Linked DNA regions of Pelodiscus sinensis. The protein of the gene in region 2 interacts with the protein of the main gene of each other region in a pairwise test. Links are inferred from orthologs where the notes say so. Each region holds a gene or a part of one and is shown on either strand. Other genes may lie near its edges.

Region 1 (7,606 bases), on a different chromosome or scaffold from region 2:
TCCTCCTCATTGGTGGTGCTGCTAGAGGCTGCCATTGCTGTTTAAGAAAAAAAATAAGAATCATCTGAACTACATTGAGAATTAAGCAGATCCAGCTGACATGCTCCCTAGACATGCTGTATTAACTTTTGTTGCAGTGATCTCACTTAAAAAAAAAAAGCTAACTTATCAGCAGGGCTAGTAATTAAAATTCAAAGTTCAATTCCCAAGCCTGTGCTCTGGCCCAGCAGTGCAGAGACGTGATGTACTTGGCATCTGGGAGGAAGTGAGAACCTTGGGTTGCTCTACAGAAATTCCCACAGGCCCAAGACAAGCAGAGGGCTTTTTTTCCCCCGCCCTCCCCAGGTGAATGAAACTCAGCAACCCTGGCCCCTTGAGCATTCTGAAAGGCATGGAGTCATATGGGCATAGGCTGTTGATTATATCCCAGATTTCCTGCTTCAGTGAAGTCCCTCTCATACCACGGAGGAAACAAGGAACAGAGGTACAAAGTATAGTGAAATTTGGTAAGGTAACAGCAAAAAAAGTCAGCTCCCTGGTAGTTGTAGCCATTAACAGCTAGTAGGAGCCATAGAAATACAGATGTTTGCCCAATGGAGATGCTCTTTTACTACAAGTTAACTAAAAAGGGGTGACATTTAGATTAATATTCTGTAATTCTGAAGTACGCTCACAGTAATTAAAACTCATATATTAGATTTCAAAACATTAAATAAAATGCCAGATCTTATCAGAATTTAGTAGAAGAGCTTTCAGTGTGTAAAAACTGCCATTATATTTTATTTTAACCAGTTTTTTCTTATGCAAGTTGCTCTGAAGAGAGATTAACAGAGAAAAATGAAAATATGTTTAGAAGAGTATTTTCTAAGGTTATATAAATAAACCCTGTAAAGACAGTTACCTGGGATGCAGATAGAAGGGACAACTGTGGATATGTAGAGAATTTACAGTGAAGCGTGTTGATCCCAATATCGGCTTTGGGGAGGAAAATAAAATAGACAGAAAATAAGTTGCATGCTTAATAGTTGAAGAATCACTGTAAAGTACAAGTGGTACAGTCGTACTACATATGCTTTTCTATTTGGGCACAAAATTAACAAAACACACAGCAATATAGTCAATATAACATTAATTATGCTCCTTTGAATTATAGGCAGATTAGAGGCAGAACAGATAATTCAAAACAAGCTGCATTCTTATTACTGATCGCCACAAAAGTGTATAGAAGCAGACCCACGGTCATGTTTATGCAACACATATGCATATGTGGTTTGTACTAAGAGAAAGATTACCGAAAAGTTCAGACTAACACGGCTACATTTCTATCACGAAAAGTTCTAGTTACCCCTTTTGTTTTGACAAGTTGCATGCTGAAGGTCAATAAGAAGCCTAATTAAATGTCCCAGAGTAAATTTGTGGCTCCATGACAGCCCACAAATTAGAGTCTATGGAAAAAGCATCATGATGCTGATAGACAGCAAACATGAGTCGCTAATGGCTCAAAGATACTACTGTGAAAAAACAGTGCCAGAATGCATATCAAGCAAACAAGTTGTAAATTTTCCCCTTAATCTTTCTACATATTGTAACTATATCTTTATTATTAAAAAAGCCACCATATAAAATTGCAATGACTTTAGTACAAGAACCTAAACCACTTCATACTTCAAGGAGTTACAAATTCTGATCCAAATTTTGGACCTTATTCCCATTTGTATTAGTTAAAGCGCCAGTGCCAAATGTTAAGCCTTCACATTAGTGGTGCAGTGTTGTGAAGAACAATCAGCATATAGTCAAACTACAAAAAGCTCCTCACATTGGGAGTGAGGAGAAGTCCATCGCCCCAACAGTGTCTGAAATGTGAACCGCATCCATTTGTAAGGGAGATTCTCTCATTCCAAGATTAGCTTTGGAATTAATAAGTAGCACAGTCTGAAAAACACTTCAGTAAGATTCAAAGTATCTCACTGAAAACCTTTGCAAAAATTCTTTTTAAGGGGAAGGATTTTTACTGTTTTATTGACACCACCAATGTAAAAACTGAAAAACCTAAACATTTTCCTGCAATGCTTCCCACTTGGGGATGAGCAAAACTTGGCAGCTCTGTAGTTTGTTGGCTGGGTTTGGTGCAACACATCAAGAAACCTCCTGTCAAGTTACCCCAACTTGGGGACCCTGCCATGCAGGTGGGGGGGGAGGGAGGTTTTTGAGGTAAGCCTGCCCAGCCCGATTCCCTGCAGGAGGCAGCATCCTCTCCCAGGGATCGAATAAGGCGGGGTTCACATTGCGGGGTGCGTGTGGAGAGAGCTAACGCCTGCGTCAGTAAAGTTAAACCTTCCTCTTTCTGCACGTGTGCACGGGGGGAGGGGGGGGAGAAAACACCCCCAGCCCAACCCCATGCAACACACACAACCCCCGCCAGTAAGCGACATAACACCGTACCTCACTATACTGCTCCCCAGCCCCCCACCTGCCCCCCCTCACCGCCTACCCCCCCACCTGCCCACCCCCCCACCTGCCCCCTCCTCACCGCCTACCCCCCCACCTGCCCCCTCCTCACCGCCTGCCCCCCCACCTGCCCCCCCCACCGCCTATCCCCGTACCCCCCTCCCCCCCAACCACCACTGCTCCCCCCTCCTCCCCCACCCCTAGATCGCCCCGCCCTTCCCCCCCGGGCCTGCCCCACCCCCCACCAGTGCCCTGCCTGCCCCCCCCGGGTCTTCCACGCCCCCTCCCCCCACCCGCGTCCCGCCGCCTGCCCCCGGCCAGCGCCTCAGGCCTCCCGCCGCGCTCCCCCGGGGCCGGCGGCCTCTCCCCGGAGCCGCCGCCCGGCAGCCCCCCGCGGCCAGGCGGGACCCGCAGGCTCCCACTCACCGCGGGGTCCGGGCGGCTCCCTCCTCGGCCTGGCTCGCCCCCCTCCCCCCGACCCGGCCTCGGCGATCTCGGCGGCGGCGGCTCCCGCTCCCACCGGAAACCAGCGACCTCAGCCAATCGCCTGCCAACCTGACGTCAATGCGCCTCGCTCTCACTGCGAGCCGTCGCCGGGGCAACCTTAAAGGGGACGCCGCGCTCGCGCCGCGTCTTAAAGGAGCCGCCGACACGTTTCGCGCCTCCCTCTTAAAGGGACCACGGCGCCTTCCTCCAGCTTTGACGAAGCTCCGCAACCAGCCCCTCCCCTTACAAGGCCTTGCGATGCCCCGCCCTCTTAAAGGGGCCAACCCCACCCTGGCCTTGCCTCAAGGGTCTGCCTTGCCCAGTTTCCTTGGCTCCTTTAAGGAGTGCCCGACACCCCTAGGCACTGCTGCCAGTCCATGGGACGGGCACATGGCAGGCGGAGCTGCGGGGACACGAGGGCTCCACGCCAGGGGCCAGGCTGCACCCAGGCCCCAAGTTCCAGGCATGGCCCTGGGGACCAGCCAGGGGCCGGGCTAATGATGGGTTTTGAGGGCTCAGCAGCGGGCATGGGATATGAGAGGCAGGTCGGAAATGGGCGCTGGGCACAGAGATACCCCGTGGGAACTAGGGCTGGGAATGGGAGCTGGGCACAGAGATACCCCGTGGGAACTAGGGCTGGATTGGGCGCTGGGCACAGAGATACCCCGTGGGAACTAGGGCTGGATTGGGCGCTGGGCACAGACATACCCCGTGGGAACTAGGCCTGGGAATGGGTGCTGGGCACAGAGATACCCCGTGGGAACTAGGCCTGGGAATGGGTGCTGGGCACAGAGATACCCCGTGGGAACTAGGGCTGGGAATGGGCGCTGGGCACAGAGATACCCTGTGGGAACTAGGGCTGGGAATGGGCGCTGGGCACAGAGATACCCTGTGGGAACTAGGGCTGGGAATGGGCGCTGGGCACAGAGATACCCCGTGGGAACTAGGGCTGGGAATGGGCGCTGGGCACAGAGATACCCTGTGGGAACTAGGGCTGGGAATGGGCGCTGGGCACAGAGATACCCCGTGGGAACTAGGGCTGGGAATGGGCGCTGGGCACAGACATACCCCGTGGGAACTAGGGCTGGGAATGGGCGCTGGGCACAGAGATACCCTGTGGGAACTAGGGCTGGGAATGGGCGCTGGGCACAGACATACCCCGTGGGAACTAGGGCTGGGAATGGGCGCTGGGCACAGAGATACCCCGTGGGAACTAGGCCTGGGAATGGGCGCTGGGCACAGACATACCCCGTGGGAACTAGGCCTGAGAATGGGCACTGGGCACAGAGATACCCTGTGGGAACTAGGCCTGGGAATGGGCGCTGGGCACAGAGATACCCCGTGGGAACTAGGCCTGGGAATGGGCGCTGGGCACAGAGATACCCCGTGGGAACTAGGGTTGGATTGGGCGCTGGGTACCAAATCAGGCCATGAGAATTAGGATCGTGACTGGGCTCTGGGATAGGGATGTTAAAATGTGTTTATTTGTGTAGACGTGTATCCACTGGAAATACACATTTACACAGGGAACTAGTGCTGGGAATGGGTGCTGTATCTGAGACAGCAGTGACGGGTGTGTTGGGGGGCGGAGCAGGCGGCTCTTGAGCCAGTGTTGGGGGAAGGGGGAAGGAACCATTTAAGCGAGGTGTTAAATGCATGGAAGACTGGCTTTATAATGCAACATAAAGGCAGCTTTCCATGCATTTAACACCTCATTACACCAAAAGTTAAGTACAGTATAGGAAACTTCCAGCCCACTCAATTAACCGCATTAGCATCAGTACTACAATTGACAGGTACTTTTTTTTTTCTTCCCTTATTTTTGTGTTATAAATTCTGGGTTCGTGCCTTTTCCACTCCTTCTTCCAACTCCTCTGAAGAAGTGGGTTTTGCCCACAGAAGCTCATGATACTACATATATTTTTGTTGGTCTCTAAGGTGCCACAGGACAACTCATTCTATTATTTCCAATTTGTGACTGGAAAATAGCAATGCTTAGCATTGGTGGGGCTTTCTCTTTGAATTAATATAACTTGTATCCCAGTTTTGGGATAGAGCCCATATTCTGCCATGCCTTGAGCAAAGATCAAACCCGTAAGTAAAACTTGTCTCGCAGTCTCGCAGCATGTTCTCATCAAGGAAAAAGAGGACGGCACTCTACAGGAATAGTGCAAAACCACTTTACAATACGGCAGTCACAGATCAAAGTATTAAAACGTGGAGCAGAATACTCTGGGATTTGTAGGCAACCTTGCGATGCTAATCGGAGCTCAGTTCTGTTAAGTGCTTTTGATGCAGGTGCACCTTGAATACAAGTCCGTATGTAGAGCCTTCTCTGTGATGAGTACATTTCCTTATGCCTCCCAAATGCCTGCCAATATATATTCATGTGTTGAGGTGTCTTGAGACTTTCTCAAATCAGGTGAAAGAAAAAAAACTGTTGGGTCTACTCACACTGCAATCAAACTGTCCTAGGCTACCATGGCACTTGACTGCACTGTAACTTTCTGGCTCAGGAGTGTGAAAAAACCCATCCTCCTGAGCGCAGCAAGTGACAGCGCAGTAAAGCACCAATGTGAACCAGGCTCCCAGATGAGTTAGCTACTCCCCCGATGGAGGTGGTTTACATGGGGCGCTGGGAGACAAAGCCCTAGTGACAGTCATGTTTCAACACCATTGCTGTAGCAGAGTTTTAAAGCTTCATCTACACTGAGTCAGGGGACACAGGTACAACACAATTCCATTTGTAGCAGGGATGCAATGTTAAGTGTTCTCCACAACCATGCTAAGGTCTTAGATGTGTCGTTGGACACACTGTACATCATGAAATCTTGAAATCAGATGCCCTGCTTTGCAGTGTCAACAAGTGTAGAGAATCCTGTTATAAACCCATGCTATTTACTAAGAACTCTCCCACTTGGGAGACTACACTCACATATTTACCGGGTTGGTAACCAGGTTGTATTTCGGGATGTGAAAGTGTAACCATGTAAACGGTGAACCGATGCGCCTGTGCTTATCAGTTAACGGTCACAGTTACACACAGACTCCCGGTGCATGCATGGAGCCAGCTTAAAAGCCAGCTCCTGTCATGCACCAGCTCCCAGGTAGCCGCCAGCCACCTCACATGTAATCATGTAACTACTGAAATGTTCAGCAATTACAGAGTTACTTAATTACATGCGTTTTAGCATCCCTAGCAGTACTATAGCTGCACTTGACTTGTGCTCACAACATATACCATAAACGGTTCCTAGCAACGTGACTGTGAGCTTGGCTGTACCATGAATGTTTGGCTATAAATGGGTTCTTGCTTAGGTCTGTGTGTGGGAAGTCTTCCTAAAATTCATTGTTCTGTGTGTTAGTAAAATAAAATAACTCTTTCTGTCAGCGTATAACCCGCTAACAATGAAATAGAGCTATGAATGAAATGACTTGGGATCACTGTTAGGACTGCTCCCTAAGTAACAGCTGAGGCCGAATGGGAAAGCGACCCCAGTTTCCCCCAGAACATACAGATGCAAGCATGGTTGTGCGGTATGGTAGGTATGGAGAGGCCAACTCCACTGACATGAGGGTGTGGGGAACATGGTGTCGCATGGATGTTGCTGAACCATTCTAGCGGAAGCCTTGTCAGAGCAGCATGGTTAAATGTAGCATGGTTCTGTCTCTGGTGAAGCTAGGCCCTCCAGTATGGTTTTGCTAGTGCAGTTCTCAGTTCTGGCCAGATCTATTCTAGACCGGGAAGATCGTCTTAAATAACGTAGCTGGAGTGGACATATGTTAAGCCAAGCTTGGTGCCATCTTCACAGCAGGAGATCAATGGGAGCAAATGCTCCCGTCAATTTCTCTTACTCCTCATGAATCGAGACACTGTGGCACCCACTGGGGTTGCCCTCAGCATTCGATTTAGTGGGTCCTCACTAGACCCACTAAATCAAATGCCAGCAGATCAATCCCCAGCATAGTAAGTATAGACATGGCTTCTGCTCCTGCTCCATGGAGGGGGCTGTCTCTAGCTCAGTTTTAGCATGACCAGAGTTGTCCCATTCATGGGATGGTTAGGGGTGGCCATTCCGGGCCCCACACTTTTGGGAGACCCACAATGGCTGGCCCTGGTGTTCTATGGATGGGAGGGACCCAGGGATTGCAGGGGTCTGGCACAGCAACAGTAGGGGTCTCCCTCACCTCCCGTACTCACAACGGCAGCAAGAACCAGAGCAGGCAGCCTGCTCCGCTCTGCCCTGCCACTCTCTCCTGGCCCACTGTGCCCTGTTTCTCAGTGGGGGTGGGAAGCCGAGCGTCTCAGCCTCAAGGCACTCCAGTTCCCACTGCCACAAAAAAGCGAGGCATGGGGGGCCCAAGAAAATGGCGGGGTGGAGCGGAGCAGGCTGCTGGGCTGTTCTGGCTTCTGCCACTTGTGTGATGAGTGGGCGGGGAGGGGAACCCTACTGCTGCCATGCCAGGCCCCATAATTCCCTGGGCTGTGTTGATCGGAGTACGGGCAAGGAGTGGAGCTGGGGCGGAGCTTAGGGAAGGGGTGGAGCAGGGGCGGGTCCTGTGGCGGGGAGGTTGCACTGAGTTGGGGTGCCCCGTATCCCCCTCAGGACGGCCCTAAGCGTGGCTTACAGAGACAGGGGGATCTTCCTAGGAACCTTTTAGCCACCATTGT
Region 2 (7,204 bases):
ATATACATATTTGATCACATTGTATCATAGCCCAATGACACAAACATCAGAATAATACAAGTTTGTGCTGTGAGAGAAACTCAGAAAAACAGCAACAACATTTTTGATTAATTAAGGTTTCACTCATATGAAGACCCTAGTGTTTGGGTTCCCCAGATTTCATATTCACCTAATTGTAGGACTGTGAAAGTATTTGCTTTTTGGCACAAAAGAAGTGGCCCCAAAACTAGGGATTATCAGTTAATCTAGTCTACTACTTGCATTCCCCCCCCCCCCCATTGCCTCGGTATAAGAGACAGCAAGGGGGGGAGAAGCAGGGAGCTGGTGCCCCCCAGTAGCAAGTCTGCAGTGCCGCCTGCCCCCCTCCCCCGCACCACCATGCTGCTGCCTCTCATAGAGGCAGCAACATGGGGGAGAGAGGAGGCTGCCACAAAGCAGTCTCTGCCCATGGCGGACTCTGGCTCGCTGCTGCCAGAGGCTGTTCTGTAGGATGCAAAGCAACCTCTGTAGTAAGCCTGCTCTGCGAGATGCTGTTTCGGGGCAACAGCTCCTGTCCACAGGGGGTCAGAGCTCCCTGTGGACAGAGGCTAGAGTGTTTGGGGGGGCACCAGGGGAGGCTGCTGCAGAGCAGCCTGTGCCCTTGGCAGGCCCTGACTCACCATGGCAGGCCGTGACTGCTTCACGGGATGCAGAGCAACGTCTGTCCATGGGAAGCCTGTTCTGTGGGATGCTGCTTCACTGCAGCAGCTCCTATGCATGGTGAGCTCGGGCCTGCCATCAACAGAGGCTGGTCCCTGGCAGTAGCCCCAGTTCACAGAGGTCTGATCTCCCTAAAGACAGAGGCTGGAGTAGCCTCTGTCCGTGCAGAGCTCGGACCCATCACGGACAGGGGCTGCTATCACCCCATGCTGCTGCCTCTATATCAGAGGCAGCAGCACAGGGCAGCAAGCAGCTGGTCTACAAGGGGAGCTGGTTTTTAACTGTCTCCCCTCGTGGACCATTTCCCACCTAGCACTATGTACTGCTGCCTCTGATACATTGGACCATAGAATAGTCAACTAACCACTAAGAATTCGTGCAGTTAGTCAACTATTGTATTACCCAATATCTAACATCTCTACCCAAAACATTAATCTATGAAAAATCAGAATTATTAGATTAACTGATAAAGTATCCAAGGGGAAGGAAGATCCCAGTAAAGATTCTGAATTCCATTTGAATTCAAGTTTGGTATTTCCATTACTTCCAGAGATCTTTGGGACATTTTTACTTCAGCCCCAAGGCAGGACCTGACAGCCAGTGAAGTCCGCTGCAACTCCTAGCCACAACAGGTTGCAGGGGCTCCCTTTAAAAATCCAGCCAAGATGACAGGTAGGGGGGGACCTGCTGTGGTCCCTATCCAGGATGCCCCACAACTGAAAGCCACCATCAGGAGTAGTGGAAGGACCCTTACAGCTCCAAGCCTCTTCCATATGTGGGGTACCCCACATCTCTAAGCTGTTGCCAGCTGCCAGAGGACCCCACACTTGCAGTCACCATGGGAGGGAATCGTGGAGCCCCAGCAACCACAGATATTGGCATAGGTAGCAGTTATTGAAGGCAGCAGAAGGCTGAGCTACACCAAAAAGCCTTGTATGGCCTTTGGCCCCTCTCATGCTCTGCCCCCAGGTCCCTTCCTGCTTCCCAGAACTGTGCTGTGTGGGGGAGGTACCAGGATAGGGCTGAGGTTAATGAGGGCTGCCTGGTGCTGGGGGGCTATGCAACACTCACATAATACTCAAGGGCTGGGAGGGCACACCACCCATATGTGCTGGGAGGGTGATAACCACTTTGCACTCCAGGGTTGAGGGAAGAAGGTCTCTGGTAAGGATGCTAAAATGCGATTAATTGACTAGTCAGTTGACTCTGGGTTCCATGTGGCACTTCCCTGGACTCCCCAGCTGATCCCAGGTCCTGGGGAAATGCCATAGGGAGCCCAGGGTCAGCTGGGGAGGTCCCAGCTGACCCCGGGATCAATGGCAGCTGCCCCTTTGAATCGTGCGGAGGCAGTATTTTAAAGGGCCAGCCCGCTGCACAGCTGATCTTGGGATCAGCTATGCGGCCTGTTGGCTCTTTAAAACACTGCCTCTGCATGATTCAAAGGGGCAGGAGGGAAGCCCAGGGTCAGCTGGGAACTCCCCAGATGACCCCAGGCTCCCTGTGGCATTTCCCCAGGACTCAGGATCAGCTGGGGAGTCCAGGGAAGTGTCACATGGAACCCACAGTCAACTGGGGACTCTCCAGCTGATCCCAGGTTCTGGGGAAATGCCACAGGGATCCCAGGATCAGCTGGGAATCCCCAGCTGACCCCGGACTCCAGGGCTGCCCCTTTGATTCCCCGCAGAGGTGGTGTTTTAAAAGGGGCAGCCTGCCACACAGGTGATCCCAGGATCAGCTGTGCAGCTGCCACCTTCAGGTTTCAGAGCAGCAGTGCCACTTTAAAGTACCCCTTTTCCCCCCACCCAGTGCTGCCTCTATTTCATATAGGCGGCAAGGGGGGAATTGTCTAGTTGACATTACTATCTGATAAGCAAATTCTTATTGGATAGTCAACTAGTCTTTAACATCCTTCATCTGTGGGCCACACTACCCACATGCCAGGCACTCTGGGACTGCTGGAGGAAAGTCATATTGCATACTCAAGAGTGCTGTGGGGGGAGAAAGAAGGGTTCCACATAGGAGTGAGGTGTCTGGACTTCAGTGGAAGGAAAAATGCCTCAGGCAGAAGTGACAGGCCAAGGGCTAACCATCCTGAGACCAGGGTTCACCTACAACCTGTGTGTTCTAGACCCTCCTCCTTTCCCATTTTGTCAGTTATTTTTATTAAAAGTCAGGGACTTATGTGAATTTTTAGTTGTTGCCCATGACCTGCCTGTGACTTTTACTAAAAATAATAATAACAAAATCTTAGCTTACCTCTTGCACAGCTGTGCACACAGTGGTCCTTTGTCCGATGGTCAGGATGTACAAGTGCCACAACTTGCTGTTGCAGTTAATAGATTTAAGCTTTCTCTGCCAAGTGTTTTTGCAAGTGCTCTGGAGACACAGGATTCTTTCTGTCCATCATCTCAAACCTACCCAGCTGTAGGGATGTAAAATCCCATTTAATCATTTAACTGGGAAACCACATGAAGGGGGTGGGGCAGAGGGTAGGCTGGAGCACCTTCCTTCCCTGCTGCAGGTGGGGGCTATTCCAGCCAGGATGGAGCCCCCCTGTGTGAGGAGCACCAGCCCAGGCTTGCTATATACAGGGGCTGCTCTACCTGGGCTAGAGCACCCCCTTCCCACATTGGACCTTGCTGGGATAGAGCAGCTCCCTGCCTGTAGCAGGTGGGGAGCTGTTCCAGGCCCCATCAGTTAATTGCAACTGGCAAGCCTTGCTGGGTGATGCTTACCAGTTAACCATTCACATTCCTACTCAACATCTTGCCCAGCCACCTAATCCAGGTGCTACCAGGTGAGTTTGGTGAAGATTGCCAAGCAACATGCAGAGTTTAAAAGAAAATGCACTTCATTCCTTGCTGACACCTGCTTTTGTAAGAGGAAAAAAGAGTCATAGAATTTTTTTTATTCAAAAGGATGTTTCTCCACCTGTCTAGATCATGACAGGATTGCTTTTGTATTCTTAACCCACTGCTAATAGTATTAAATAGGTCCACTAATGGAAAATTTTCTCCTTTAGAAGTTCAGTTACTTTATAGCTATGTTTTCCCACTTATTTAACCATTTTTCCTACTGCATTTTCAGACCTTTGTTCCGTGATATTGTCCTTGTTGTGACAAGAGAATACTGATAGTATTCTCTTTATAAGTTTGTGAAAAGGTCAGTCCCATTCCTGGGCCCCTGTTCAACTCAGTCTCACCAATTATTTAGGTACTGTGGCACAGGCCACTCTTGCCCTTGCTGGGGTTTAGATTTCTGTCCCTCAGCTAGAAGGGCTTTGGGGCAGGTGCCCCTTGATCTCCCTAGGCTGGGTAAGCAGACCTCCCCAGCCATTGGCTGAAATGCTCAAGCTACTTGGGGAAGGGAGCCCAAACAGTTCCCGTCAGAGCTCCTGACCTTCCTTGCTATCTCCAGCAACACTGACTTCTCTTTATTAGCATCTCCAAGTCTCTCCTTATCTGCTATCATTTCTCTCACTTTTCCTGGGAGTAGAGAGGAGGGGAAGCTTTTAAAAAGACCCTGTTGCAGCCTGAAGTCAGAGCAGCTGGCCCTAATTGGTTTATAGTAGCCTCATCTCAGCTGCTCCCATTCCACCCATGATAATTCCAGGACCATTTCTGCCTTTTAAAGCTGCCTCTCTCTCCTTTGAATCAAGCCCTCTGGCCTGACCTTGTCACAAGTTATATAATTAATTGCTATTCCATTTTCATTTCTCCCAATTATATTTAGTGTATTTTTTAACTTCCTGTAAAATATGGGCATTATTTTTCCATTATTGTTATTTTTAGTGTTCCTGTCTGACTTGTCTCTAATTTGGCCATATTTTTTTAAACCATAGCACTCCTGTTACTTGGGCTATAATTCTACTCTGAAAAGTATGTGAAGATTTCCTTTTTTTTTTTTTGCTAAGATGCTCTTTTGATAGGATGTTCAAAACTGTCCTCACATGGTTTATTAGTGGTTTACAATTGTGTGTCAACAACTCTTATCAAGCCTGACATATACAATGTACTCCAACTCGTTGTCATAATCTCTATCTAAAAGATGACACATAAAGTATATGCAAGATAGTGATACACTAGTCTTGAAAATCATTGTGTGGTATAGGCCAAGCCCGTTCCCCACTATCCATCTGCCTCCCCTGCCCTCTGCAGAGATGATGTATCAGCTCCAGCTCCCTCCCCTGCCTTGCTGCTTCTGTTAAGGGCAGCAAGGCCGGGAGGAGGGGAGGGGGGGGACTGCTAATGCCTGTGATGCACATGTTATTTCTGTATTCCATTTCTGGAAAGTAGTGAACAGAAAGGATGAAACAACTCTATCAGGTGACTTAATTACTATAGTTTCTTTGACACCAAGATAATCAAAAGCCATAAGGCACATACAGCATGCATTCAGAAGCATCCTTATGTCTGTTTACTCCTGAGTATTATATAAGTCTTGAGCTTATTCAACCTCTACCAGTTATGGACTTTATCATAGAATCAGAGGATAATAGGACTGGAAGGGACCTCGAGAGGTCATTGAGTCCAGTCCCCTGCCCTCATGGCAGGACCAAATACTGTCTAGACCATCCCTGATAGACATTTATCTAACCTACTCTTAAATATCTCCAGAAATGGAGATTTCACAACCTCCCTGGGCAATTTATTCCAGTGTTTGACTACCCTGACAGTTAGGAACTTTTTCCTAATGTCCAACCTAAACCTCCTGTGCTGCAGTTTAAGCCCATTGCTTCTTGTTCTATCCTCAGATGCCAAGATGAACACGTTTTTTCCCTCCTCCATATGACACCCTTTTAGATACCTGAAAACTGCTATCATGTCCCCCCTCAATCTTCTCTTTTCTAAACTAAACAAACACAGTTTTTTCAGCCTTCCTTCATAGGTCATGTTCTTTATACCTTTAATCATTCTTGTTGCTCTTCTCTGGACCCTCTCCAATTTTTCCATATCTTTCTTGAAATGCGGTGCCCAGAACTAGATGCAATACTCCAACTGAGGCCTAACTAGCGCAGAGTAGAATGGAAGAATGACTTTTCATGTCTTGCTCACAACACACCTGTTAATGCATCCGAGAATCATGTTTGCTTTTTTGAAAATAATCAGCATAACGGCATTGCGCAAGAGGGTTTTTCTTGCGCAAGAAGGGGAAGTGTAGACGCTCCTTCTTGTGCAAGAGCCTCTTCTGCAAAAATGGCAGCTCATTAGATATGCAAATGAGGCTCGGCGATATTCCACGCTTAGCCTCATTTGCATATATCTGGCACAAGATCACGCCAGTGTAGACATAGCCTATGTGTGAAACTGATTGTTCCTTCCTAAGTGGAGCACTTTGCATTTGTCCTTATTAAACTTCATCCTGTTTACCTCAGACCATTTCTCCTATTTGTCCAGATCATTTTGAATTATGACCCTATCCTCTAGATTAGTCACAACCCCTCCCAGCTTGGTATCATCTGCAAACTTAATAAGCGTACTTTCTATGCCAATATCTAAATTGTTGATGAAGATATTGAACAGAGCCGGTCCCAAAACAGACCCCTGCGGAAACCCACTTGTTATACCTTTCCAGCAGGATTGTGAACCATTAATAACTACTATCTGAGTACGGTTATCCAGACAATTATGCACCCACCGTAGCCCCATCTAAGTTGTATTTGCCTAGTTTATTGATAAGAATACCATGTGAGACTGTATCAAATGCCTTACAAAGTCTGTATCAAAGCCTAGGTATACCACACCCACCTCCTCTCCCTTATCCACACAGGACTCGTTATCCTATCAAAGAAAGCTATCCAATTGGTTTGACATGATTTGTTCTTTACAAATCCATGCTGGCTAGTCCCTATCATCTTGTCACCTTCCAAGTGTTTACAGATGATTTCCTTAATTACTTGCTCCATTATCTTCCCTGGCACAGAAGTTACACTAACTGGTCTGTAGTTTCCTGGGTTGTTCTTATTTCCCTTTTTATAAATGGGCACTATATTTGCCCTTTTCCAGTCTTCTGGAATCTCTCCTGTCTCCTATGATTTTCCAAAGATGATAGCTAGAGGCTCAGATACCTCCTCTATCAGCTCCTTGAGTATTCTAGGATGCATTTCATCAGGCCCCGGTGACTTGCAGACATCTAACTTTTCTAGGTGATTTTTAACTTTTTTTTTTAATTTTATCTTCTAAACCTACCCCCTTCCCACTAGCATTCACTATATTAGGCATTCCTTCAGACTTCTCAGTGAAGACCGAAAGAAAAAACTCATTATGCATCTCTGTCATTTCCAAGTTTCCTGTTTCTGTTTTTCTCTCCTCACTGACCAGTGGGCCTACCCTGTCATTGGTCTTCTTCTTGCTTCTAATATATTTATAAAAGGTCTTCTTGTTTCCCTTTATTGCCGTAGCTAGTTTGAGCTAATTTTGTGCCTTTGCCTTTCTAATCTTGCCCCTGCATTCCTGTGTTGTTTGCCTATATTCATCCTTTGTAATTTGTCCTACTTTCCATTTTT

What was found.
Region 1: the proteins of PLEKHF2 (region 2) and PRKAR1A interact in binary tests that used the Homo sapiens proteins (3 or more experiments, as listed by UniProt). The two-hybrid records come from large-scale screens. The link is inferred for Pelodiscus sinensis from reciprocal best matches to the Homo sapiens genes PLEKHF2 and PRKAR1A.

The regions. Positions count from the first base shown.
Region 1 is NC_134730.1:23,380,743-23,388,348, reverse strand, and holds the start of PRKAR1A (cAMP-dependent protein kinase type I-alpha regulatory subunit), read right to left. Parts: upstream 3,020-7,606; 5' UTR 2,875-3,019; intron 976-2,874; 5' UTR 902-975; intron 38-901; 5' UTR 36-37; coding exon 1-35. UniProt on the Homo sapiens protein: Regulatory subunit of the cAMP-dependent protein kinases involved in cAMP signaling in cells.
Region 2 is NC_134712.1:39,749,170-39,756,373, forward strand, and holds the start of PLEKHF2 (pleckstrin homology domain-containing family F member 2), read right to left. Parts: upstream 3,103-7,204; 5' UTR 2,956-3,102; intron 1-2,955. UniProt on the Homo sapiens protein: May play a role in early endosome fusion upstream of RAB5, hence regulating receptor trafficking and fluid-phase transport. Enhances cellular sensitivity to TNF-induced apoptosis.